Linked DNA regions of Saccharomyces cerevisiae S288C. Changing the gene in region 2 together with the main gene of any one other region gives a genetic interaction. Each region holds a gene or a part of one and is shown on either strand. Other genes may lie near its edges. The genes, in order: OKP1, CNN1, AME1 and MIF2.

Evidence for each region.
Region 1: mutations in CNN1 (region 2) and OKP1 impair growth when combined (synthetic growth defect), as found in Saccharomyces cerevisiae (3 studies listed by BioGRID, with this or other methods).
Region 3: mutations in CNN1 (region 2) and AME1 together harm fitness more than expected from each alone (negative genetic interaction), as found in Saccharomyces cerevisiae (3 studies listed by BioGRID, with this or other methods).
Region 4: mutations in CNN1 (region 2) and MIF2 impair growth when combined (synthetic growth defect), as found in Saccharomyces cerevisiae (4 studies listed by BioGRID, with this or other methods).

What each region holds. Positions count from the first base shown.
Region 1 is NC_001139.9:853,175-858,292, reverse strand, and holds OKP1 (Okp1p), read left to right. Parts: upstream 1-3,397; coding exon 3,398-4,618; downstream 4,619-5,118. Other genes in the region: protein translocase subunit TIM13, read right to left, coding at 1-6; ribonucleotide-diphosphate reductase subunit RNR4, read left to right, coding at 1,992-3,029; PBP1 (Pbp1p), read left to right, coding at 5,078-5,118. UniProt on the Saccharomyces cerevisiae protein: Component of the kinetochore, a multiprotein complex that assembles on centromeric DNA and attaches chromosomes to spindle microtubules, mediating chromosome segregation and sister chromatid segregation during meiosis and mitosis.
Region 2 is NC_001138.5:241,653-246,715, forward strand, and holds CNN1 (centromere-binding protein CNN1), read right to left. Parts: upstream 2,508-5,063; coding exon 1,422-2,507; downstream 1-1,421. Other genes in the region: MRX20 (Mrx20p), read left to right, coding at 346-357, 430-1,347; BNA6 (nicotinate-nucleotide diphosphorylase (carboxylating)), read right to left, coding at 2,627-3,514; RMD8 (Rmd8p), read left to right, coding at 4,494-5,063. UniProt on the Saccharomyces cerevisiae protein: Component of the kinetochore, a multiprotein complex that assembles on centromeric DNA and attaches chromosomes to spindle microtubules, mediating chromosome segregation and sister chromatid segregation during meiosis and mitosis.
Region 3 is NC_001134.8:644,955-649,804, forward strand, and holds AME1 (Ame1p), read right to left. Parts: upstream 2,179-4,850; coding exon 1,204-2,178; downstream 1-1,203. Other genes in the region: ERV15 (Erv15p), read left to right, coding at 596-1,024; NGR1 (Ngr1p), read left to right, coding at 2,932-4,850.
Region 4 is NC_001143.9:271,661-277,060, reverse strand, and holds MIF2 (Mif2p), read right to left. Parts: upstream 3,668-5,400; coding exon 2,018-3,667; downstream 1-2,017. Other genes in the region: phosphopantothenoylcysteine decarboxylase complex subunit CAB3, read right to left, coding at 63-1,778; CUE2 (Cue2p), read right to left, coding at 3,852-5,183. UniProt on the Saccharomyces cerevisiae protein: Component of the kinetochore, a multiprotein complex that assembles on centromeric DNA and attaches chromosomes to spindle microtubules, mediating chromosome segregation and sister chromatid segregation during meiosis and mitosis.

The DNA.
Region 1 (5,118 bases), on a different chromosome or scaffold from region 2:
ACCCATTTTCTTGATTAAATAAGCTCAAACTGTTGTTGGAGAGAAAAGATTGATTGGTTTGAACTGACAGATATCCTACTTGAATCCTCTTTTTGTCGATTTTATAAATCTTAGGACCTAGGATTTTTTTACTCTTCGGCAACGCCAGGAAAACTAAGATACACCGGAAACAAGAGGAAGGAGATCAAGAATTAGCGTTGGCTAGTAATGTGACTAAAGGGGAAAGACATTGCTCTTTATTCGCTTATATTTTATTTGTTGTATTGATATGATCTCTTTCTGAATCTGTAGCGACCTGTCAAATCGTCAAGGGTATGGTTTAATGAGGAAGTGAAACCATAGCGCTAGCGCCAGTTCCAGGTTTGATACATAGCAAATCTATCATATGTACTCATAAATGCCATTTCAGAACTCATTTAGCAGTTTTGTTTTAGCTTGAACGTTATCAGAATTCTTGCGGGTAATACACCGGTGCAAAGTCCATTATCGACGGGAGAGATAACAGATGCAGGCTCCAAGAAAAGTGGTCATGGCTTTTATCACCAGGACAAACTAGCAAGGACAAACATTTTATTCGGATGATTGGATTTAACGGCTGGGCGAGTGGGTGATACCGCGGTGTTACCATCCTCTCGGTTACAACGTCACGTCTTTTTCTGTTTAACCCTTTTGTACTAACAAGGAATAAATTATATTCAATGAATTATGAACAGTCAAATGCGTATATATTGGCGCTCCACCTTTATTGTATATCAGATGAGGTAACATTACTTGTACCGCGCTCGCTTTCAACAAATAAGTGGTTGTTTGGCCGAGCGGTCTAAGGCGCCTGATTCAAGAAATATCTTGACCGCAGTTAACTGTGGGAATACTCAGGTATCGTAAGATGCAAGAGTTCGAATCTCTTAGCAACCAATAATTTTTTTTTCAATAATTAAGTACCAATTTCCTGCTAATGGGCAGGCCCACCTTTATTTCTTTTTTTTTCCATTAGAACGAGCATTTCAGGCAAGAAAGGGAACCGGCGAAGACGGGAAAGTGTACTTTTCACGAAACAAAGAAAATGAAGTACGCGTCTAGACTATTCCCATAATGTTTACGTTTCACAGAAATTGAGGAATCTGGAGATAAGGCAACGAGGACCACCTGAGTGTCGCCACTAGTACCTTGCTATACGAATATCCTGTGTGTGAGTGTTTACGCGTCTATGTGATTTCGCTTCCAGAGTGGTTGCCATGGCAAACTATTCAACCCGCTCTTTTTCTATCCAAAACCAACAACAGAACATGAGCAAGCCCCACTCCACTGAATATCTGGAGCGCCTCCACCGCTTGTGTGGTCTGCCCCCTTCTGCGAGGTCGCCTCTGAGCTTAATAAGCACCGTGCGCCTACCTTCGTTTCCCTTTTTGAGGGTACCCGCCCATACACCGCACCAATGGAACTAGCAGGTACGACCACCCAACACCAAGCACCGGAAACCGGACAGTGCAAGTTCTAGCACACTGAAAGCGGCGCACGAGAACGCGCTTTTCAGCGTGCGAGAACCACGTTTTGGCAGTTATTGTTCACCACAGCGTCTCTTGCCTTCCCGATGGGCGTTGTTGTGGCAACACCATCCTCTTTGCTTACTGTAATCGGTAGACGACGTCCGTTCCTTCCTTGGTCTCATGAAGCTCTGGCGTATAAAAACGGCGATTGAATCTTCAATGTTCCTAAAGTTTCATTCCTTATCTCTCATTTTCTTCATTTTTTGTCTCTTGGCTTTTCGATCAAAAAAAGACTATCAATAGATACATTGGTTTCTGACCCCACCTCTGTCCCCTTACACTATCAAATTTCACTTTTTTACTTTTTTTTTTTTTGCAAAAGGCCTTGTCTCGAAACAGAAAGAAAAAAAATTCATTTAAAAAGGGAAATAAAAAATTGCTAATACAAAAACAGATCTTTTTGAGCCACACAACCCCGCGCAACGCACACAATTAGTTATTACAATGGAAGCACATAACCAATTTTTGAAGACTTTCCAAAAAGAACGTCATGATATGAAAGAAGCTGAAAAGGATGAAATCCTTTTGATGGAAAACAGCCGTAGATTCGTGATGTTCCCTATCAAATACCACGAAATCTGGGCTGCTTACAAGAAGGTTGAAGCCTCTTTCTGGACTGCGGAAGAAATCGAATTGGCTAAGGACACTGAAGATTTCCAAAAATTGACTGATGACCAGAAGACCTACATCGGTAACTTGTTAGCCTTGTCCATTTCTTCTGACAACCTTGTCAACAAGTACTTGATCGAAAACTTTTCTGCCCAATTGCAAAACCCTGAAGGTAAGAGTTTCTACGGGTTCCAGATTATGATGGAAAACATCTACTCTGAAGTTTACTCCATGATGGTTGATGCCTTCTTCAAGGACCCTAAGAACATCCCTCTATTCAAGGAAATTGCCAATTTGCCTGAAGTCAAGCATAAGGCTGCTTTCATCGAGAGATGGATTTCCAACGATGACAGCTTGTATGCTGAAAGACTAGTAGCATTTGCTGCAAAGGAAGGTATTTTCCAAGCTGGTAACTATGCTTCTATGTTCTGGTTGACTGACAAAAAGATTATGCCAGGTTTAGCAATGGCCAACAGAAACATCTGTAGAGACAGAGGTGCCTACACTGACTTTTCATGCTTGCTATTTGCCCATTTGAGAACCAAGCCAAACCCCAAGATCATTGAAAAAATCATTACCGAAGCCGTGGAAATTGAAAAGGAATACTACTCAAACTCTTTGCCAGTAGAAAAATTTGGTATGGATTTGAAGAGCATTCACACCTACATAGAATTTGTCGCTGACGGTCTATTACAAGGTTTCGGTAACGAAAAATACTACAACGCCGTCAACCCATTCGAATTCATGGAGGATGTCGCTACCGCTGGTAAGACCACCTTCTTTGAAAAGAAGGTTTCCGACTACCAAAAGGCCAGTGACATGTCTAAGTCCGCTACCCCATCCAAGGAAATTAACTTTGATGATGACTTCTAAGTCAACGACGGGGTGCGTTCTTTTATTCTTGGCCACTTTTATTTATATATATTTATATATACCTAGGTACAGTATAACTAAACTTAAGTAGAAAAATTTAAAAAGAAACTACAGTTTTTTTTTATATTTATTATGACAATATTTGCCATTTTCTTGTAGGTAGATAAGGGAAAGATTCAGAGAGTACCATCATCCCGGTCATTTCATTTAAATAACATATTTTTGTTACCCGGAGAGTCACAATACGGTCCACCCATTTGTTTACTACCTCGAAGTTAATACAGATAGAGGTACATAGCAACAATGGATGAGGTAACTTGCACCCTATGGACGAATAATTCAAGCGATACTAGTGCTACGTATACTGTATGGCAGCTGATAGAGATAATTTTTTACAAAATATTGAAAATGATTCAATTAACAATGGCCAGGCCATGGATCTGTCACCCAACCGAAGTTCCTCTGAAAGCGATAGCAGCATTCTCATGAATGTGAATGATATTAAAACTTTACGTCTGGACGTAGCACCAGAAGCTAAAAGCACCCAATCAAAGAAGTCGCTTTTTTATGAGAACTCTGATGATGCTGAAGAAGGAGAAATAGAAGAGCGCACGAACAAAGAAGAAGGACAATACCATCATAAAGGATCTAAACAACTTCGATTTGAGGTTGGCAAGGAAAGTACAGGTAAATTGCAATCTCATCTATCGGATGGAAGCGCAACAAGTGGAGAGGGCAATGTACGACCTTGGGAATTCAGGAAGGTAATACAAGCTGAGTATAGAGAAAGGTTGCCGCGCAATTATGAATTAAAGCATTGGAAAAAGCCTTCTAAAATAATGATAGGATCCATACTTCGTTTATTAGAGACTAACACTGTAAGCGCTCTTGATTCTGTCTTTGAGAAGTACGAAAAGGAAATGAACCAAATGACGCATGGCGATAATAATGAGGTTAAAAGAATATATTCTAAGAAGGAACGTTTGCTTGAAATAATCCTCACAAAGATAAAGAAGAAGCTAAGACAGGCCAAATTTCCCTCTAGGATATCGGAAAGAGATCTAGACATCGAGTATATTTATTCTAAGCGACAATTTATTCAAAACCGGTATTCACAAGAACTACAAAATAATGAGAGATTGGAAGCAATTCTTTCACGTGAACAAAACCTTTTGGAGGAAACTAGGAAGTTGTGCATGAATTTAAAAACAAACAACAAGAAACGACTCACTGAGAAGCTAATACAAAAAGATCTGCATCCAGTACTTAACAAAGCAATGGAATATACATATGGCTTAGAATCTACTAATGGATTTATGCATCCTGATGGCCCAGTAACTTTTAGAAATGATAGCCACGAATTGAACCTGATGTTGAACGACCCCATAAAAAGTACAGCCGATGTGAGGCTTGATAAGGAGGAAGTACTGTCGTTGTTACCTTCTTTGAAAGAATATACGAAGAAATCAAAGGAACTTAAGGAAACAATGGGTCAAATGATTTCGGATTCACATGAAGAAGAAATCAAAGAGGTTTTTGTACCGCACCATGAGTCGCACCAAGATAAGACCGAAGAAGATATACACTAGCGATAATCCATTGTTTCAGAGTTTACGATTACGATGCATATAACTAAATATTTGATATATAATCATGCACTATTAGCATCCGGGTTACGTAACTTCTCCGCCAACGAGCCTCAGAAAACCTTGGAGAGCCACAACAAATTATGAAAAACTGGAAAAAAAAAAAAATAAAGAAGGAAGGAAAGCTCAATTGGGAGGCACTTTCTTTACTTGAGATTTGCGTTTTTGTAAAGCAGTTCTTAAATCGGCATCTCTCATCGCATAGATCTTTAAGGAAGATATAGGTCATTCACTCGCGTTTTCTTCTATCTTTCTTTTTGTTCTTTCCAGAAGACGTTTCGATTATTTCCGAATTGATCTTGAAGGGGAAGCAATAATTAAATCTTTGAAAATTGATTTGATATAAAAACTGACATCCTCAGTCACGGAAGTAATTAAAGGAGTTCATTACATTGAAACAATATGAAGGGAAACTTTAGGAAAAGAGATAGCTCCACCAACTC
Region 2 (5,063 bases):
TTTAACCCACCGATTGGCGCACAAAATGTGTTGTGGAGTTATCAATCACTCGAGGGATTTAATCGACTTCTTGTTTAGTTCGCCTTCGCTAGTCATAATAAAATCGACTTATTAATCCAAAAATTTCAAACTTTCTTGTCAACATAACTTCTGGAAAGGGTGTCAGAGGTTTTTCCTTCTTGCGTCTGCTGATTTTATTAGGTTGTTTAATTTAAAGGGCTTTGAACAGAAGTGGGAACTTCTTCCGCCTTATTAAGCTATTTTTCAATCGAATATAATTGAAAAAGTAATTGCTCTCACAGGTAGTCGAATCGTAAAAAAAGGGCAGTAAGAACAGCACCCGACATGGCTAACCAGGTAAGTAGTAAACTGTTTCGTTCCAAGACGCTAATGCTATTTTATTAACGCTCTCTTTTTTCTCGTTTGCAGAACTCTGACCTTTACAAGCAAATCACTGCCGGCAGTGTAGCTGCTGTGTTTCAAACGACAATGACATACCCATTTGAGTACTTAAAGACTGGTTTACAATTGCAACCGAAGGGTACCGCTTTCGAAATCATTTTACCTCAGATTAAGTCGTACTTTGTTGGCTGCTCTGCCCTAAACGTGGCCGCATTTGGTAAGACTATTTTAAGGTTCGTTACGTTCGACAAGTTATGCCACTCCCTGAATAATAACATTGATAATAATGATAATTTTCAAAGACTGACTGGTTATAACCTTTTGATCGCTGGTACGTTGACAGGAATAGTAGAAAGTTTGTTTATTATCCCTTTTGAAAACATAAAAACCACCCTTATCCAATCGGCGATGATCGATCATAAAAAATTAGAGAAGAATCAACCTGTAGTTAACGCAAAGGCAACCTTTCACAAGGTGGCGACTAAATCTACTCCTGTGGCTCGTATCGAGAAACTACTTCCAGCGGTAAAACACATGTATCAAACAAGAGGCCCTGCTGCGTTCGTCCAGGGAACAACAGCCACCATATTTAGGCAGATAGCTAACACCTCTATTCAATTTACTGCATACACAGCATTTAAACGGTTGTTACAAGCAAGAAACGACAAGGCATCCTCAGTAATAACGGGGTTAGCCACATCTTTTACACTCGTGGCAATGACTCAGCCCATTGACGTCGTAAAAACAAGGATGATGAGTCAAAATGCCAAAACTGAATATAAAAATACCTTAAATTGCATGTATAGAATATTTGTTCAAGAAGGCATGGCCACATTCTGGAAGGGCTCCATCTTTAGGTTTATGAAAGTCGGTATTTCAGGAGGCTTAACGTTCACTGTTTATGAACAGGTTAGTTTGTTACTAGGCTTCTCTTCCAGGTCTTGATAATTTTGTGGATCTTTTACTCTTTTCTGTACATAAATTGCCACTATTTAATTATTTTCTCTACGGTATCTTTTTTAGAACAAATAACTTTCAATTCTTGATTGAAGTTCTAAGGGAAGCAATTCGTGCGCGAGCTCAAACATATCATCAACGTTATTGATAATACCCATATCGATAAACGAATCTACCAATTCCTGTTTTTGTAACGTGCCGATTTTTTGTTTCAAGAAATCCATTATATTTAAAGATTCCTCCTGTATAGTAGACCACGTTTGTTTCGGCAATATTATCCTATTCTCATTCAAAAATTGCCTTGTAAGATGTTTTAGATCCATTATTTGCAGCGGTTTTATAGAAGAACGTCTCACCGCAGGGACATTTAAACGGATAGGATCGTTGCCTATATCATCCAAATTTTCGTCACTGGTGTTTTCAAACGAATAATCTTCGTTTTCTGCTTCTTCTGTCTCCTCTTTATCGTCGCTTGGTAAATCTTCAGATAGTGGTTCTTCCTGTTGCGTTATGGAAATTGGTACCGGATCACGTACTGGCGGTTCATCTACCTGATCCATTCCAATGCTTGGCGACGTGCGCAAAACTTCCATAGAGATACTGTTAGCTTTATCTGGAGAGTGCACTGTCAATTCATCCTCGTGTCCTGTCGTGGGAACATCTTGTATTATTATCGGGTCAATCTTCCTACTTTTCAAGCCTTTGTCTCTTTCCTGCAATTTTGCAAATACTGTTTGCGATAAGGAAGTATAATCAGGTTGCGTTTCATTGCCAATGTTGTTATCTGTCAGTTTCTCACTTCTGCTCCGAAGAAGCTCATTCTCCTCTGGTTGGCTCTCTTCGTACGCTAATTCATCTATTAGATTCCGTGCTTGAGTTTTATTAGTAGTTGTATCGTTGCCTTGTGATTTGCGTGCTAACACTTGGCTTAAGTCTTGTAAAAAACTTCGTACTTCGTTCGGATCTTTATTGAGGATGTCATGAGACTTAGTAGAAGCAGATAAAAGTTTTCTATAACCTGGCGTATTTCTGATCAGTACCTCATCCTTGAGACGTTGTTCTTCAAGGGCTCTCTCCCGAAAGGGGGTTCTGATCTCTGAGACTTCTGTATTCTCGTTGTTACCGGCGGCCTTCCTGGGAGTGCTCATTATTCATTTCTTATTTCGTTACTAATCGTCGTGTGTGTCATTAATCGGTAACGCGTAGCTTCTTAATCTTATTTAGAATATGTAAATAAAAAAAAGTAAAAATCGAAGCCTAAGCATTTTCAATGAGCCAGTTTCAATGAGAAATCAATCACTGGTGTGCCTTGATGAATGCTACTAGTGCTGTAAATGTCAATGTCATCGCACAAATACTCCTCGAGGTTGTCCAAATTCAAGCCTCCACTACATTCCAAGAGGAAATGCTTTTTACCATTCCATTTGTTCTTAAGACTTTGGGCGCACATTTTCAAACCGTCACCTTTGAAATTATCCAACATGATAACGTCTGCACCAGCTTCAATGGCCTCTGTGGCTTCATCTTCACTCAAACACTCCACTTCGATCTTCACAGCAAACCCGCACACGGCCCTGGCGTTCTTAACTGCGTTTGTTATAGAACCAGTAGCCCAAATATGATTATCTTTGAGCATGACCATAGAGGAAAGGTCGTATCTGTGCGTGTCGCAGCCACCTACAAGCATGGAATACTTTTCTAATCTACGTAAACCTGGTGTAGTCTTTCTTGTCCCCGCAATGGTCCCCTTGTAACCAGTCGAACGCGCCAAACTGATTATCTTATGTGAGGCGGTGGCAATTCCACTACTTCTACTAAGGATGTTCAAGGCGGTTCTTTCAGCTAATAGAATGTTTTTAGCGGGCCCAGTAATTTTAGCTACAACAATCTTACCAGAGTCATTCTTCGAAGGCTCCAAGAAGGAGCCTTCCTTAAACAACCACTCAACTTGCAATTCGCACTGATTAAAGACTTCTTGCGCAAAGGGGACACCACACAGCATACCATCCTGCTTACAGTACAAATTGGCCTCCTTTAGGTCGGAACCAACAACATATCCACCAAAATCAAAAGAAGGAACGTCCTCGCTCAGCCAATTGGTGACGTCTTGTCTCCATGCTCCATTAACGGGCAATAAGTGTTCATAAACAGGCATTTTTTTTTTTTGGTGTGTGTTCTTTCTGAGGATTGCGTTCTTTTTGTTGCGTTATTAAGTGGTGTCTTTAATTTTCGAATTTATGGCCCAAGATATACGAAAACTGCGGTAGGAGTCATGATAAATGGGGGCTCTTCAACCAACCGGCGTCACCAAAAGCAAAAATATCCTGGAGCGAAATATCACATTGTTTGTAACCAAGCTTGTACCTTTGACAAGTTAACTTACGTCTTGCCGGGGTTTGCTACTACGCATTCAAGTATATAAAACGTTGTGACACACAAGTTGATAGAAACCTCAGGATGTATAACTACAATTCTAGTTTCCATCTCATTAGTCCCAAATGACAATAAAAAAAATTACTGGCCATGGAAGATGACAAGCCGAATATTAGCTCCTTCGATCGAACTGTGCGTGGAGAAGAAGCTACTACTATTTAATAATTAGTATCCCGTGATTTTGAGCTGTCGCTGGCATTATGTACCTGACATTAGGTATTTAGGAAAGGTAGGGTAGATCAGTTTAGTACCTCAATGGGTGCGGAAGGTTAATCTTGAAAAATTTGCGATTAGTAGACAAGTTTATTCTCACAAGAACAAAATATTCAGTTCATTTCAGATATGATCGTGAAGGTGGAAATCTTTTTTTTAAAAATGAGAAGTGTGCCCAACAAAGAAGTAAAAGACAAGTTAGCTTTCTGTCATGCTTGAAAACTTTATGGAAGCCTGTGCATTGGCATTAGAGGCATCTCCGACAATCAGAAGAACACTTCTTGTTATTATAATTACCCATATATTTTTTTTTTTTTCAAATTGACTACTAGGAAAAAGTGACAATTTATAGTAAAACTGGCTAGAAAAACCTACAAGAAAAACAAAACCAGGTTAGGCATACATTAATACAAGATTATATCAATCGGAAGTTCGTATGCAAAATTGCATATGGAGCAAAGGAAAGGACTTCCATTTAAGACGACAGTATGAGTTATAAGGCTAACCAACCATCTCCTGGGGAGATGCCGAAAAGGTCACCTTCCATCCTGGTGACAGATGCAAGAACATCCAAGAATAGAATGAGTGCACCGTTCGCTGGACACGCTGCTGGTAGTAGGAAGAATATGGAAAACGCAGGAGTTACGAAGTCTCAAGGAGTTCGCTCTTCCGCTATTGGCCCTTCTCCGCTGCAGAGTTTTACTCATCCAAGAAGGCGATCGTCTGGCAGGTTTAGCGATATATCCATAGATAATATTCTTTCTGATAATTCAGATATTCCCTCTGCCAGAAGAGAGGAAAGGCTATCCAGCTCTTCAAGCGATAGGCCTCGCCAATATGAGCGGTTAAGTTCGCGTAGAAAGATGATCAATCCCCTGCCTCCAAGAACATCGAAGACGTCACAAAAGTTAGTGTTGATACCGGAAGACGACAACTTGAACCACTTTCAAACTCTACCAACGAACGCGCTGGATAGGCAAAGACCGAAAGTGGGCTCTATGAAGTCTAATTCCTTCGATCGGCTACCTCGATACTCAAAAGAAAAGTCCATGGCAAGA
Region 3 (4,850 bases), on a different chromosome or scaffold from region 2:
TTGTTTTCCTATGATGACCAACCTTTGGAATTGGGTAATTCTAGGTGTAGCCTGCTAGCCATCAAACGAGACCTTTCAAAATCTTCAGTCATTACATTTTCTTCTGTAAATAGGGAAAAAAGCCTTTAGCTAGGATTGTTCGGCAATAGAAAGCCCTCCAGTTTAAACTTGACATAGAAAATCTTTAAGGTTAAATCAAACATAAGTTATTATCCGATATAGTGTAACGGCTATCACATCACGCTTTCACCGTGGAGACCGGGGTTCGACTCCCCGTATCGGAGTTATTTTTTGTTTCTATACCATTATTTTTCTTGAATGTTGCATTATGATAGTATAGTTTTGCTATACAAACTTCAATTCTCAAAACACAGTACGTCTAGCTCACTACTACTCTCTCTAATTCAAAATCGTTCACTTCTATCGAAAGCTGTGATAATTTGGAAATATTGTCGTGGGCCACGAATGATTTTTCAATTACATTGCTAAATACGAAGACATTAATACCTTTATTCATATAAGCACTTTCATTATCATTTTTTACTAAAGATAAAACTAACTGCAGGCACCAAGAAGTTCGAAGCCAAGAGTAAAGATGTCAGGAACCGGATTATCGCTATTCGTGACGGGTCTTATACTGAATTGTTTGAATTCCATTTGCCAGATATACTTTACTATATTATATGGTGATCTTGAAGCAGACTATATCAACTCAATCGAACTGTGTAAGAGGGTGAATAGGTTGAGTGTACCAGAGGCAATTCTACAAGCTTTCATTTCTGCATTGTTTCTTTTTAACGGGTACTGGTTCGTATTTCTCTTGAATGTCCCTGTTCTAGCATATAACGCAAGTAAAGTCTACAAGAAAACACATCTACTGGACGCCACGGATATTTTCAGAAAATTGGGTAGATGCAAAATTGAATGCTTTTTAAAATTGGGATTTTACCTTCTCATATTCTTTTTCTACTTCTACAGAATGGTCACAGCGTTACTTGAAAATGATGCAAATTTGATAAGCTAATAGCGACAACAGGAAAAAAAAAGAGAGATTTGTGCATATCTATGAAGTATGTCTACCACATAAAAATGACCTTATAACACAACTTCCTTAGTATGGAAGTAATACATATATACATATATACATATATACATACATATATATATATATATATATATATATACATCTTTTGAACCAATTCCCTATAGACTTGGTTGTAATTCGTTAGAAAGATTTTCATTAATTTTATTTATCTTTTTCAGAAGTCCGTTATATGGATCCATCAAGTCTACGAAATGTGCAATATCCAGAATATTTGAGTCATCCCGTATTGAATCGTCCTCGCTATCTTGGCTCATAATTTTGCGATCTCCCTCGTATTTGCCTAGCAAAGTAGAAGTCAAATCATTTAGCCTCTTATTTAGCTTCACTTTGTCGTTCAGTTTGGCTTGTTCATTTTGTAAGTCATGCCAGTCTTTACCGGCTTTCAACTCTTGAATTTCATTTCGTACCGATATTATCTGCTGGTTCAAATCTTCTTTTCGAGCAAGTACCTGCTTCAGTTGGTAGCAGAGCTCATTATTCGACACGTTGATATCTAATATGTCTTTCAAGTCTCTGGTCATTTGGTCTGATATCGTTTGAAAGAGTCGCAGATCTAATTTGTACAATAGTTTCCTAAATTGATCATCATCACTTTTATTGAAATCCTTCAAAGCTTGCGGAATCAAATCATTTTCAAATAAGTTTATGAATAAAGAAGATAAAACATCAATTGTGGTCACAGAAGTGATAGACGATGATAGCTGTCTAATGGGTATATCATCGAAATTGTAACGAGTAGTAAGGTCTTCATCATTTCTAACATTTTGCGGCGATTCGCTTATAAGACTTTTATTTTCAGAGTCGATCATGGGATAGTCTTCTGCATCCAAGGGCTGATACCCATGTTCATGACGGTCCTGCGCATTTACGTTATTAGTGGTAATAGGAAACTCGAAAGAATTCGCAAGTTTTGGTGAAGACAAAATGGGTTGAACAGGAGATTGAATAGGTGAGTTCTCCTCTCTATAAACAGCATTTGGCGTCTTAAATACAATAACATCATCATCTATATCGTCTGTCCTTCTTGAATGACTGCCCCTCAGCCTAAAAGCTAATTTAGTGTCTCTATCCATACTGAGGTTTTTCTTTAAATGAACACGCAAATAGTCAAGACAATACAGAGCAACACAGGACACGTAAAAAAATGAGAGCAATCGCTTCTTATACTGCAACGATGTTGACCCTTGCCATAATAGCTAATGAAATCAATCATTATCATTTCTACTAGTCCTTTAACAATATTTGGATACACCATTAAATTTCTCCGTACAACACGATAAAATATTTTCTACCAGCTTCAAACGGCTGTGAAGGGGCGATAGTGCCGTTCCAAAAAGCGTTCCCCAAACTTGTATTCAAGACCAAATCTTAGTCAAGCAAGCAGTTTCGCACCTTCATACACTCCATTAAAAGTGAAAATAAGCATATTTGTAATTAAATCTGGTTATCATACCCTGTTCCCTTTAGAACCAATATACATAGACGCAGTCGACAAAGAAGCAATAAAAGAGATTACCATTCTTATTCACTATTTTTTTTTTTCTCTGACTCTTCATAGTTGTACGGAAAACCATCTGCGTGTTATATCCTAGTTCCAAATATTCTGATTTCTCGTGATCGAATCTGTTATATTGTCATATATTGTAATTCCATTTTTTTCCCGGTTCATTTTTTGATATTCTCTTCCTGTTCCAATATTAATAAAGGAGGCTTTTTTCTTTCCCTTTCGTTCTGATTTATATTGTTTTTACTATTATTGGATCTTTTAAATATTACAGCTTTTTCATATCCTTCGCCATCGATTTTTGCCTGAAAAATTTACACAAATGATGTCTAACGTTGCTAACGCCTCCCAAAGACAGGAAAATCCATATATTATTCCATTGCCTCCTTCATCCACAGTGGAAACTTCTACTGAACCCCCAAGAACGTTATGGATGGGAGATTTGGATCCGTCCTTCGACGAGGCCACGATTGAGGAGATATGGTCAAAACTGGATAAAAAAGTTATCGTTAAACTAATTAGAGCCAAAAAAAATTTGTTGATTCCTTGTAGCTCCACCTCAAGTAGTAATAACAACACAAGTGAGGAGAATGCTGAAAACCAGCAATCTGCATCAAACAGCACTGATCAGTTAGATAATTCCCAAATGATTAATATTAATGGAATATCCTTCATTGATCCTTCCACTACTCAATTACATCATGCCGGATACTGTTTTGTCGAATTTGAAACTCAAAAGGACGCTAAATTTGCCCTGTCATTAAATGCTACACCTTTACCTAATTTTTATTCCCCAACAACTAACTCCCAAACTAATCCAACGTTCAAAAGGACTTTCAGATTGAATTGGGCGTCTGGAGCTACTTTACAAAGTTCTATACCATCTACCCCAGAATTTTCCTTGTTTGTTGGTGATCTTTCTCCCACCGCCACTGAAGCTGATTTGTTATCTCTTTTCCAAACGAGGTTCAAATCTGTTAAAACCGTCCGCGTGATGACTGACCCTTTAACAGGATCATCTCGTTGTTTTGGATTTGTCAGATTCGGTGATGAAGATGAGCGCCGCAGGGCACTGATTGAGATGAGTGGGAAATGGTTTCAAGGAAGGGCCTTAAGAGTCGCTTATGCCACGCCAAGAAATAATATGATGCTGCAGTTACAGGAACAACAACAACAGCAACAACAATTGCAGCAACAGCATCAGCAGCTAGATCAGGAGGATAATAATGGCCCTCTCTTGATTAAGACTGCAAATAATCTCATTCAAAACAATAGCAACATGCTTCCTCTCAATGCCTTGCATAACGCGCCTCCAATGCATTTGAATGAGGGCGGCATTTCAAACATGCGTGTAAATGATTCACTACCTTCAAACACCTATAATACAGACCCCACTAATACTACTGTTTTTGTGGGAGGACTGGTACCAAAAACTACCGAATTTCAATTACGTTCACTATTCAAACCCTTTGGACCCATTCTAAATGTCAGGATTCCCAATGGTAAAAACTGTGGGTTTGTTAAATTCGAGAAGAGGATTGATGCTGAAGCTTCAATACAAGGCCTGCAAGGCTTTATTGTGGGCGGCAGTCCAATAAGATTATCATGGGGACGCCCATCCAGTTCAAATGCTAAAACAAATTCGACCATCATGGGGGCAAGCCAATATATGTCCTCAAATGGCCTGAGAGCGCCATCTGCGGCTTCTTCAGTCGATAACTCCAAACAAATTCTTGAACAATATGCGGAAGATAAAAGGCGACTCTTTTTACATCAGCAGCAGCAGCAGCAGCAGCAGCAGCAACAGGATGGTAACTTTTCTATGGAGCAAATGGCGCACAACAACTATTACAACTACAATAATTACGATTATCACAGGAACAAGAATGGCAGCCATAGCGACCTCGTTAATCTGCAGAGATCTAATGTCCCGTATATGCAAGAAGACGGTGCACTGTACCCACACCAATATTCAAGTCCCTCATACTCGCTCCATCCGACGGGCAACCAATTCTCCAATGCTACTAATAACTTACCTCAATTTGGGAACGCGATGTCAATTTCTATGCAACTGCCCAATGGCAACAGCAATAAAACGGCCTCAAGCATGAACACAAACCCTAACACAAACATGATCATGAATTCTAACATGAACATGAACATGAACGTAAATCCAGTACCATACGGAATGGGAAACGGTGCAAATATGTATGACGTGTCCAGGATGATGACTCCTCCCTT
Region 4 (5,400 bases), on a different chromosome or scaffold from region 2:
ATAAACAAAAAAAAAAAAAATAAAACATAAAACATAACACAAAATACTCTTTTCTAATGCATTTAAACTTCGGTTTTCACGTCTTCCTCATCCTCTTCGTCTTCCTCGTCATTGCTCTCATCGGATGCTGTTTCATTTAGAGCTTCTTCCTCCTCCTCGTCCTCCTCATCCTCTTCGTCATCCTCATCATCGTCGTCCTCATTGTCAGCACCCTCTTGTTCTTCTTGTTCTTGCTCTTTATCACCAGTTTCCTCGTCCCTAGCTTTCCGTATTTCATTGATTCTCCTCCTAACGATCTCTACAATATCTGTCCATTCTCTCATACCACCCATACCAATATCTCCGCATATTAATACCTTTTCCACCGGTTTCAAAACTTGGATGAACGGATAGTCTTGCACTAAACTCGTCAGGTGTTTCTTTGTCATAGGATTGATATACATGAATGTATTCATTGCAGGCGCAATCAACACTGGGGTCAGTGGTGACCAATCTCTCATCACAGAAGTTAGCAAATTGTTACATATACCATTGGCCAGTTTAGCAAGTGTGTTAGCTGACAAAGGCGCAATCAGGAAAATATCAGCCCATTTTCTTAATTCATGGTGCAATATCAAGTTCAGACTCAAGCTAGTATCATTCTTATTCACAGCGTCGAATACCCAAGCGTCTTCCTCCCTCCAAATTTTAACGTGTGTTGACATTTTGAGCCCTTTCAAAAAATGCTCAGCGGGTTTTGTGACAATCAACTGAATAGAGATTTTCTCAGGCCCATATATCTTGAAAAGTTTATCAATAATTAGAGGTACTTTTATTGTGGCAACTGAGCCCGTCGCACCAATGAGAATGTGGAATTTCTTGTCGTCTTCCTTCTGAAAGAACTCTGTGAAGGGTACACGAGGCCCTGTGGGTGCAGTGATAACTTCCTTGTTTTTATGTGTGGAGTTATTAGCCGATAATGGCGCCGCCTTTGCAGTGATAGGTTTAGAAGCGTTTGACTTGGGATTGAAGTAGATAAAATCACCTGGCATATGAACGATAGAATTTTTTTCCATCGAAGGTGAATCTACTTCATCTTCGCTATTGCTCGTACCACTCGATACCGAATGTTTCCTGATATCAGTACCATCATTAGTAGTGTTCTCCTTAAATATTGCATTCGCTATCCTCTCCTTTTCGTCTATCAGTTGCTGTCTTTCAGTTTGCTTTTTTTGCACTTGCTCCTGAATTTGCTTCACCTCTTCTTGCTGTTTTGCTCGTTGATTTTGCTCCTGCAGTTGTGCCTTTTGCTGCTCTTCTTGTTGTTGATTTTGCTGCAGTTGTTCCTGCTGCTGCTGCTGCTTTCCAGGTTTATTGGATATCGAATATCTATGATACGGCAACCTTTCCACCTCGGGCACCGTAAATGAAACAGCAGAAGGTAATGAAGGTGAAAACCTTTTTTGCTGGCCATTTGTATTAGCTGGCATACTGGTGTTGATCTGTATTTCATGGCCATCTTTGTTCCTTTCACTATTTTGCTTCAGATTGGCAAAAGAGAAATCCCTCAAATTTGTGCTATAATCGTTTTTGTAAATATTCCTCCTATTAGAGTTGGATTTTGATTGATCTTCATGACTATCAGATCTTTCGAAATTTGATTCATCGTGAATACTTTTTCTTCTCTCCTTGTTGGTCAAAATTGAAACCGGCACTTGTGTTGTAGGCAAGGATGAAATTAAGTTAACTCCCTGCTTACCGTTCATATTCTGATCTGAGTTCACTTTTTCATCCGTCATCACACCTAATAACTCTTTGCTGGTCCTTTAGACTTTTATTTAAATATGCTAACTAAGTGTTACTTTACTGTTCTTTCTCTTTTTCTGCTTTTTGTTCTCTCATCTACGAAAGTTCGGTGCGAAATTTTACGTGATTCATTTTCTTACAGAAAAGTTCACATGTTTAACAGTATAAGCGTATGGACCTAGTTATATTTCTTCAGTACATAGCATGCATAATGAGAATATTCACATCATAATTACCCAAAAGTGTCAAACGTACTGTCTAATTCTTTGTCGTTGTCATCGTTAGCGTCTTCTGAAACGGTCACTTGAACGAAGAACATTTTGGCTTCATCATTCCCTCTATTGGCAATCGCGTACTCGTTGAATGCCGGTATTTGGAAAGTGGAACCTTTAACGCTCAAGAACTTGTTCTTACATACAGTTACTTCGACTATTCCCTGTATCACGTGGAACGTAATATATGTCCTAAATGAGTTGCTTAATTTCTTTTGTCCAGAAATAGCTGGTAGTTTTAATATGCCGCTAGCAAAATATTCTTTATGCTTATCGAACATTATCTCAAGGGCAAAATTCTCGTCCTTCGTGTCTTTTACTTGTTCAGTTTGCGACAAATTGGGCGCGAATGCAATAATTTCATCCTTAGTTTCCTCCTTAGTGTCGCTAATTTTCACATTAGCTTCCAGTATTCCATGTTTCAGCCACTCGCCATTTTCTATGCCTCCAGATTCTATCCTTTCTATAATATCCTCGTTGGGATCTTCTGGAATCAAATTTTCCTTTGCATTTGGATCCTTCTTTGGCCTTCCTCTTGGTCTCCCCGTAGGTACGTAGTTGTAAGGTCTGGTTGGTGTAGGTTTTTTTTTTTGTTTCTTCCTTCTTTGTGCTGCCAATATCTCCTCTTCGTCTTCAGATTCATCATATGTGACAATTTTGTCTATGTCAAGAACGGGTTTATTGGACTTCCTCTTATATACTATTTTTTCGTTCCTCCAATACTGCAAAGGCGCCACCTTGACTCTTGTAGATTTCCGAAGCCCGTTTCTATCAATTATTGAATCTGTACGAACCACATCACTCGCTTGTCGTCTTATATAATCATCTTCATTGTCATTTGTGTTCACCTCAGCCTCCTCTTCTACTTCTTGATAGGTGTTATCTCCATCTGAATCACTGGCTGAATCCGAGCCTGAATCCAAAGATGAGTCACTTTCAATGTAATCACCGTCCTCTTCACTTTCAGGTATAAACCCGTCATCTTCTAATTCGTCTTCTAATAATGCGTTATCAGATGTGTTTAAAGAAGTGTTTACTCTATCATCGTCATCCTCATCAGCAACCAAATCAGGTACATCTGAATAAACATTCTTATTAGTGATTCTATCAGGTGTCAACCTTACAGAAGGGCTTTCTGAAGTGTCAAGGCTATACCGAGTGGAGTACTTTCTTTTATATGTAGGTTTACTCAATTTCTGTGTGATTGGTGTGGCAAAATCATTGCCTCTGATATCATTTTCTTCTTGTTCTGGTTCTTCCTCAATAGGCTCGAAATCATTGGCTGGACTCAGGAAGTTTGATTGATGGCTTAACAAAGATGATCGTCTTGATCCATCGCCTTTCCCAGATGGGCTTTGGACAACTTCATCATCTTGAGATTTATATGACTGTAGAAATGGCGGTAATACGTTCTTAGTATCGCCATTTAACGTTGATGGTAAGAAAAGCGATGATTTTCTTCTGCTTTTCCTTCTCATACTGATAAGACTAGTTTCATCATCTTTGAAAAAATCATCAATATTTTCCATGCTGTATTCATCTTTGGGTATATCTTGCTTAACATCAATACCAGTTTTACGGGACTTAAGCCCCAATTTCATATAATCCATGAGTGAAGTGCTGTCCTGTGCTAATGTCTAACTTATTTGTTTAACGTATGTATTTTTCTAACATTCATTTATTTACATCACCATTTCTAACGCGTTATATTATTTTTCTCGAAATTGAGAAAAAACCCAATGCAGTTTAAAGAAGCCTAGCGTTTATAACCTTTATAGAAAAATCAGATAGGTTTTATTTCTTCTTCTTACCCTCAATTCTGAAGTAGGAAGATTCTTCCCAAAATATGTAGTGATTTTTTTCAAGAAAACTTTTAACCTGCAGTCGAACCTTTGAGATCCCGCCGATGCTGTGGATACCTCTACCAGTTACCACGATTAACGGGCTTACAAACTGTACTTTTGAGCCATATGAGTTTATGTTGTGGGAGTTCAACTCTCGTTCTGCTACCTCTTTGGACCACCACTTATTTAATGCAAGTTTCAGTGTTGAAACCGCTTCACTGGGAAGAAAACCATGGAAATCCAATCTGTATGTTTGAAACAGGTTATTTATAACCGGCACAGCTCCCTCGGGGGTTTCTTTGTCATGAAGGGGCAATTTATAAGTATTTCCTACCTCATTTCTGCGGGAAATCTGCGGTGTTGAAAATTTGGGTAAATGTTGCTTACAATTATCTCTGGATGTCAAGGTAAAACCTTCGTCAAAGTTCCAAGTTTTCGTAATATTCTTGTCATCTTCGATCAATAAGGACGATATGTTCAACACCTTTACAACATCTCCATCATAAAATTGCAGGCATTTTTGCAAAAATTCATGGTTTATGGCTTTGAGATCGCGATTATCTGCAACTAATTCATTTAACTCAACCATCTGCGGACTATCCAAGGAGTGCTTATAACTCCTTGGCCTTTTGAGACTCTCTTGAGCAACATTTGCGGATTCTTTACCCTTTTTCAAAACGTGGGCAAGCCCCGTCGATGATTGAACTCGACCACCTCTCACAGTCGTATTAGGACTCCGTTTTACTTTGAAAGTATCCACATCTTTTTTAAAATCCCTTTTGTCGTAATAATCCAAAATGATTTTGATGATCGCCTTTACTGTATCAAAACCATTTTCGGCTAAGTATTCCTGCGCAATATTTTTGGGAGCGTCGGTAAACTTTATTATACTCTCTATGTGATCGTTTGTTGATTCCCAATTATTTTTCTTTTCGTTCCTTTTTACGCTATCAGGAGAATTTGCTTGATTGTCTTTAAGTTTTTGCAGGGTTTCATAATTCAGAAGATCAGAAATAGTCGATTCTACGGACTTCTCATTTATTACAAACTGATCTTTTATAACGCTGCAATCAAGCTGAGGAAACATGTCGTACAGTTGATGTAATTCATTATCAACTGTAGACTTATCGTCGTTTTCTTTTAACAGCAAGCCTATCGTTAAATCCAAATCATTATTGTTTTCAAGTAAATGTACTTGTAATTTGGATTTGGAAATAGCTGGAAACATGTCCATCAAGATTGACAATTTAGATTCATGGTCATCATTGTTATCCATACTCATTGCATGATCTTATATGCACGATAAATGAGGTGTCATAATTGCTTTATATTGATATACTGAAGGCGAATATCGCTGTTGAAATTTGAATTTTTTCGCATTTTTTTTTTTAACAGTGAATATCTTGGTGATAGAGGCAATTTCCAAACTGTGAAAGCAATATATCCTGATACATAATTCAGTACGTATGTTTGTTGATTTATATTTCATACGTATTCCT